2 linked regions of the Nothobranchius furzeri genome follow. The protein of the gene in region 1 purifies or fractionates together with the protein of each later gene. This does not show direct contact. Links are inferred from orthologs where the notes say so. Each region holds a gene or a part of one and is shown on either strand. Other genes may lie near its edges.

Region 1 (3,656 bases):
CAACACATAGACCACAAAACAACGTAAGGACAACCGAACCAAATCAAGTGTTAGGTTTAGGGTCGGCATCAGTGCCTCCATTTGGTTCATTATTAGATTTAGCTTTAACTGTGTCCAAATCATTTGGCGTCTGTTGTTTTAAACAGGAAGTGTGATGATTCAGTCACATCTAAACAAAGTAAGATGGTGTTAATTCTGCAACATCAACACATCTTTTAAGTTGATGAAAATCGAATAACTTATGATTCAATTCAATTCAGTTTATTTATAAAGCATCAAATCAGGACCAGAGTCGTCTCAAGGACCTTCACACAGTAAACATTCCAATAGAGGTCAGGCCATTAAGCCAATCAGTAAAACATTTCCTATATAAGGAACCCAGCAGGTTGCGTCGAGTCACTGACTAGTGTCAGAGTCTTTACAGCAATCCTCATACTAAGCAAGCATGCAGCAACAGTGGAGAGGAAAACTCCCTTTTAACAGGAAGAAACCTCCAGAGGTCGTGGCTCAGTATAAGCAGCCATCCACCACGACTCACTGGGGATGGAGAAGACAGAGCAGACACACACCCACACACACACACACAACATATACTAAGTAATGTTTCTATGGTTACATTGTGGTTTCTTAGTAAATATTCTATTTGGTGAAAGATAATCTTTATTGCATTTATCCTAGTGAATCTATAATTAAACGGGTAAACTAGTAGTAGCACATTCAATGTCAAAGAGAGTAAAATGTTATTATCAGGAGATGGAGAATGTTTAACCCTCCCACTGTCTTCATGGGTGACCCCGCGAGGAAAGTTGACCATTGAGCAGGATTGATGGTTTATCCCTTGAGGTCCACATGGCAGGGGTGAGGTGGTGCTCACTCCTCACCCCTGCCACATGGACCCAAGGTATAAACTATGAACCCTGCTCAATGGTCAACTTTCCTCGTGGGGTCACACCCATTAGGACAGTGGGAGGGCTTAGTATTATGAAGCATCTACATTGGTAAACATCAACAAGCTAGTACTACTCGTAGTAGTACTTGCACTCATCTTCTGCTTTTCTGGGTCAGCACCAAGAGGGCACAAGTGGGGACAGGGTCACAGAGCATTTGAGGAAGGAAGATGGACATGCTTCAGGGTTGAACCGGCAATCCTCTGGTTATGAGTGAATTCCTAACCCTGAGTCGCTGTCAAGAACCTTCCTCTGGTTTCTCCTCAATACTTGGAATAAACTCTGTGTTTGTTCCCTTTAGGCGGGTCTTAGACCCATTTGTGAGTTCATGACCTTTAACTTCTCCATGCAAGCCATTGATCAGGTCATCAACTCTGCAGCCAAAACCTACTACATGTCTGCTGGACTGCAGCCAGTTCCCATCGTCTTCAGAGGACCCAACGGAGCGTCGGCTGGTGTTGCTGCTCAGCACTCACAGTGCTTTGCTGCGTGGTACGTTCAAACACATGTTGCGTTGTAATGACAAGAAATTATGACTTTCAGGTTCTGAAGCTTGTAAATAATCAGGAGGTTGGATTTCATGTTCTTTCTCAGTGGCCAGGCCTCCAGAAGGTCTTTCAGCTTGTTGCTTAGCCTGGACTACAGGAACGTCTGACTGCTGGGTTCCTGGGGCCTCATTTCACCAAGTGAATTTCTCCACTGTGAGATTAATAAAGTCTAGTCTATTTCTCAACCGTACTTATGCACAGATACAGCGTGCGTCGTGTGTAGGAACTAATTTATGCATTGTGTGGTAGTCATCATTTTGTACTATTCGTGGCAATGTTCCTAAATATTGCCGGGTTTCACTCACGTGACGTCTGCAGCCATGCAAAACTCAAATGGGTCAGGAAGTGTTTTGCGCCGCAACAAAAGATACAACACGGCGCGATTGATGAAAGCGATTTTACTGAGCCTTTAATGAGCTGGCACAGACGTGAACAAATACATCTTCTTTGATGTTACGACCCATAAAGTTTTAAAAGTCACACTTTTCATCCACTGTGGAGGATTTACCCGGCGCTGAAGCGATCTGCCACAAACTACCGTGTGCTGCCTTCCTCATGTCTCACTGCAAACCAAACGAAAGCCTCTTACACGCCTGGAAGCCTGCAGCTGTTGTATTTCTGGTTGGTTAACCTTTTAGTGATCTGGAGAAGCTTTAGATGACCGTTGTCTTGTTTTTGCTCGGGTAAGTAGTGAGTTGCGCTGTTTTTTTTAACTCATGATAATAACGCTATCGCTAATGCTAACCATCAGTATTTGCTGGCATCTACTTGTAAGTAACTTTTTATGCTTTTTAAATCCAAATTTCTGGTACGTTTGATTTTAATAAGGTACAAATGCATTAAAACACTAAGCTAACTGCTAAAAACATTAGTACTCTGAAAGCTATTAGCAGTGAGGACATGTGAAAACAGTATAAAACTGTTAATCTGTGGTTTTTGTGGCTGTTTCTAAGCAACTGTGTAATAAAACACTCCGTAATCTCTCACCTGATAGAAAGTGATTTCTGTAGATAGAAAGTGATTTCTGTAAACTCCAGCATCGTCCGTTTTAGCTCCTGTTTTAAGCCGTAGATTACTGATCCACCTCTGCCGTCTTCTGTCAGTACATTACATTTAGTTATTATTTTTCAATTAAAGTATCTTTCCGGAGTTTTCCCCCTTTCAGAAATTATGTATGGTTTGTCAGAAATCCATAAAAGTGATTTATCATGTACTATGATATAATTTAAGCGATAAGTCTTTTTTTTTATTGCTAAGCACACCCCCTGCCCCGCAGAGCTCTGTGCAATAGGAAACTGAGCGCCCACCAGAAATAACCAATAACGTTAGACTTCCGCTTAGATGCTTCAGATGTAGGGAATACCTCGGCTGATGCAGAGTAAATGAACTTTTCACGTACAAGTAAGTCTCAATGGTAAAACAACGTGTTTTAGCTGTTTGTCGGCTACAGAAGCACTTTTATAAACAGAAACGTGAAGTCGCCATCTTTAAAAATGGATCCAGAGACTGTTTGTGCTATGCTTGTCAGCCACTAGATGGTGCCATCAGTTAATAGAAATACTCCAGAAAGAGACTTTTAAGTCTTTAGTGGCGCACTACATTTGGGACATGAAAATAATGTTTGTCCCAATTAGAGTGATCGTAATAACCGTAGACCTCACAGAATTTAGGCATTTAACGCCCAGTCACCAAAGTAAATAGTGTTTAGTGCAGCGCCAGCTACTTCCGGACCCACATCTGCCTTTGGTGATGTAGATGCAACGTCATGTAAAACCCACCAATAAAAACCGCTTGGACCATGAGTACGAACAGCATCTAGTGGTAGATTGTGGGAACAGCAGGAATGAAGGTCTCAGTCATCCACACATGTTCCACATCTAATTATTATTTTATCTAATAAATAATCAATCAATCAAAACTTTACAAAGCGCCTTCCGCAACCCTGTCAGGAAGCCCAAGGTGCTGAACATGGTACAGTAGAAAGTTAAATATAGTGAGTAAATCAGAAAATAAAAGCAATTCAAATTACACATTACAAATTACAAAAAAAGGTGAAACATTCTAGTGCAGGACAAATGTGTAAAACAAGGGATAGAGTGAACCAATGAAAACTGTGAAATAAAATCAACATAAAAGAGGGCCAAATTCAAACACGTTCAGG
Region 2 (3,756 bases), on another chromosome or scaffold:
GGCATTTCTGGTTTGATGATGTCACTTTGGTGATGCACATTTGTTGTTCTGGACATAGTTTTACACAAAACCTAAAATAATGTTTGCCCGTTCTTTAAAATGCACAATCATCATCTGTGAAATCCATGGAACAGAACAAGTGTAATTAGAAAATAACAGTTTTAACCCGATTGACTTGCATTCTCTCTTTTTTTTTTTGTTCTTCTGGAGACCCATGGTCCAGAAGTGGATGGGCATGACTAAGGGTCCCTATTTTTTTTTTTTACCAGTGTTTGCACTGACCAATATTGTTGTGATTTGCCCACTGTTGCTTTTATATTCTACAAATGTGTGTCTGCAAGCTGAGAGCTGCCAACTTATGTGTATATAATGACATTAAGGAATTCTTACATTCTTATATTTTACGTCTTATGTGGCTCAGAGAGATATTAGATAAGCTCATTAAGAAGGGCAGCTCTGTCTTGGGATGTACCCTTGATCCAGTGCATATAATGGGAGACAGAAGGACTCTAGCAAAAATAGCATCACTGTTGGACGATAGTCTCCCACCCCATGCATGATGCTGTTTTGGATCAGAAGAGCTCCTTCTGTGACAGATTGCTGCATCCTATGGGCATGAAGGAACGTTGTCATGGGTTTTTCCTCCCAGGCCCAGCAGCAGTTAGGATTTGCAACCAGTGCTGCTTCCAACTAACCCACTAAAACTTTTTGCCTCCCTGCTGCTTGGTTATTTGCACAGTTCTGTTGTAGTTCTATCTTCACATTTCTCTACTGATCACTCCAATAATCTGCTTGTTCTCTCACAATATTTTATTTTTTAATTCAAACATTTTGTAAATTCCATTGATTCTTCTTTAAAATATTTCTTGCAATAGTGTTTAACATGTTTTTGTTTAGAGTACAGCCTTCTATTTCTTATTTATTTATTTGTTCTTATTGTGAATGTGGTTGCTGTTGTGATACAAACATGTCCCTACTATATAGAATAAAGGGATATTCTATTCTATTCTGTTCTGTTCACAAATCGAATCCCCTCTATTTGTAAAATATTATTTAGGCTGCCTTGCTTTGCTTTAGAAAAATATTGTGTCCTCAGATCCATTTGAAAATACTTGCTCCTTTATTTTTATTTATATTTACTTATTAATTCTTTGAATGACACCAATTTCCATCAATTTTCTATTCACTGTTCTGTCAAATGTGTTGGATCAATAAAGTTTTTTGTTCAAATAATAAAGCCCGAAACATGTAGGTAGTTTTTTGCCTTTTTAATTACAAATACAATGCTATTTATATTATTTTTGCCTTGCCAAAAGGAATGTGCTAACGTTTTTTATGCCTTTGAACCTTTTCTATACTGTATAATTTCACAATGATAGATTTGGAAAACAAAAGCAAGCTCCATCCTGGCTTTCCGCTGCTTTATGGACAGGCACTTGTGAGGGCACCTCTCACGACGGAGGAGAAAGACATGGCGGTCTCCTTGCGTTTGGGTCGTCAAGGAATTTTTTCTGGTCTCAAATTACTTAATTTTAACAAAAGTTTTTGGCTTCGACACCCTTCGCAGGATCGCGTGAGATACGTATTTCAGTCGCCATGGATGTTTGGTGAGTGTTGGCTTTAAAACCGGCTAATCAAGGGAGAACAGCTCTCCTTTGACCTGACGTTTGCTACACCCAGTTATGTTTAATTGTGATGGATTTACGTGTGTGACATTAAGTCTCGTCGTTTTTTACAAAACGATTCCGGATTGGCTCATCTGGTTTAATATCTACGAAGGAGTTGAGTTACTTCTAAAACAATTCAAACCAAGCTTCGCAAAAATTGAAATATCTACTAAAAAATAAAAAGAGGCCATGATATTGTGGCCAAGAATTTTATCTCCTGTAAATTTTTAGGAAAGTGTATATTAGATATTCAATTAAGGATGATTTAGACAACATGCTGACTCGAAGACAAAATAGACATGCAAAAGACTTGCAGCTTACCAAAAATAACCACAAAAAATTAATATTTACTCTTAAATGTCAGATAAAAAATCACAATCTTCATGAAAATTAACTAAAGCTTTAAGTGTCCAGCAAATGACAGCATACACCCCTTTAACTAGAAACAGAAGAGACTTCTGACCTTTTTATTTAACTGAAAACCACTTAGGAACAATTTCACTGTCAGTATTTTTAAAACCTGTTCTGTATTTTATTTTGTACCATGGATAAGTATTAACAGTACTCCCCTCCCCCTCCATGTTAGACAGTGTGGCCTCTATGGGTTACGGATATTAGAAAACCTACTATCCTTTTTAGTCTCGTAACTAGTTAACTTGTTTGACAGCCATCAACTACGATCACGGGTTTGCAATAACTGGCACTGAGAAAAACGGTTCTTTATATTTATTCATTTTTTATTTTATTACTCTTGTCTTTGAATATACATTTTGTGTTTTCTTCCTTCCATCCTCTAGGTGTCAGCCCACTCAAAGTACAAATGCCAGCTCTCTCTCCCACCATGGAGGAGGGAAGCATAGTCAAATGGCTGAAAAAAGAAGGTAAAGTGATACAAGTTTAATCAAGGGTTTCTTAATTAGGGTATTTTTGTAATAAGTATTTTAAAATTCTGAAAATTGCATTAGATTTTACAGAAAACTTGACTACATCAATGTCATTTCTCTCGCTTACCAGCTTTATACCTTAGTAAATTATACATAAATATGTTATAGTCATGACTCAAACAGCTTCTATTTGGACAAAACTGAATCCGAAGCTCCACTTTTCTTATCCTCCCACAATTACAGACCAACATCAGGACAAATCAATCCCTCAATGACATTTCATTGCTTTGTAAGACAGAGACTTGAGTTGTAGATCACCTGAGGGCCTTGTTGGCTAATTAACTCAAGAAATCACAATTGCTGATAATCATCCAGGTGGTTCTCTTATCTAGAAGCAGCATGAGGAACTCAATGGCTACAAGCTGTGTTACCATGTGTTTCTGCCATTTGTACAATTGTGTGTATGTGAAAATCATGAGAATGGATGCTTCAAAACATTTCCTTCCTGTACCCACCCCCGGTCCTGTCTGGCTGTAAAGCACACATAATTGATGTCTGAATGCTGGTAACAAGCCGTACAGATTTACTCTCAGGTGGAGCATCAAAGCATCTGCTTTTAATGTCACGCCTGATACTTAAAACTTTATTGTTATTGTTTTTGAATGCTTTGTAATTCTGACCAGACACAGAGACATAGGTGAAAGAGAAAGGAAGAGACAAGGAAGGGGGAGGGGGAATAAACAATCAATGATGAACAGGGATCTGCTTCTAGACCTGCAGAAAAGGGACACGCAACAACACAACAGGAGCAAGCTATCACTGTGTCAACCTGATGAGGAAATATAAAATGAACATTGTTTTACTGAACAATCACACGATAATAAATCACAGTGCATTTAGTGCCAACCACAGCCTTAAGACATGTGTTGAACATGCCCAAGTCCATACTTACTGCCTCCCCGGGAAGCCAAGCGACAACAGAGGTGTGCTAAGGCCCCTAGTCACCCTCCACCTGCTCCAATATAGTGTTAGTGCGTGTTGATGAGGTGTATTCAATGGCTGTGGTGAGCAGGCAGTGCAGGCATCGTCTGGCCTACGCCAGCTGATGCCACCACACCACTCCACTTGCACCCACAGCCCTCAGTGTCTAAGTGCAGTTTAAAATAGGAAGAAGGCACCGGCACTTGGGATGAGGCTGAAAATTC

Evidence for each region. Proteins that work in one complex are often made in the same cells at the same time.
Region 2: the proteins of pdhb (region 1) and pdhx purify together in Homo sapiens (affinity purification with mass spectrometry; 4 studies listed by BioGRID and IntAct, counting the BioPlex papers as one, with this or other methods). This does not show direct contact. The link is inferred for Nothobranchius furzeri from reciprocal best matches to the Homo sapiens genes PDHB and PDHX.

The regions. Positions count from the first base shown.
Region 1 is NC_091743.1:78,896,663-78,900,318, reverse strand, and holds part of pdhb (pyruvate dehydrogenase E1 component subunit beta, mitochondrial), read left to right. Parts: intron 1-1,248; coding exon 1,249-1,439; intron 1,440-3,656. UniProt on the Homo sapiens protein: The pyruvate dehydrogenase complex catalyzes the overall conversion of pyruvate to acetyl-CoA and CO(2), and thereby links the glycolytic pathway to the tricarboxylic cycle.
Region 2 is NC_091744.1:75,525,834-75,529,589, forward strand, and holds the start of pdhx (pyruvate dehydrogenase protein X component, mitochondrial), read left to right. Parts: upstream 1-1,424; 5' UTR 1,425-1,471; coding exon 1,472-1,607; intron 1,608-2,464; coding exon 2,465-2,548; intron 2,549-3,756.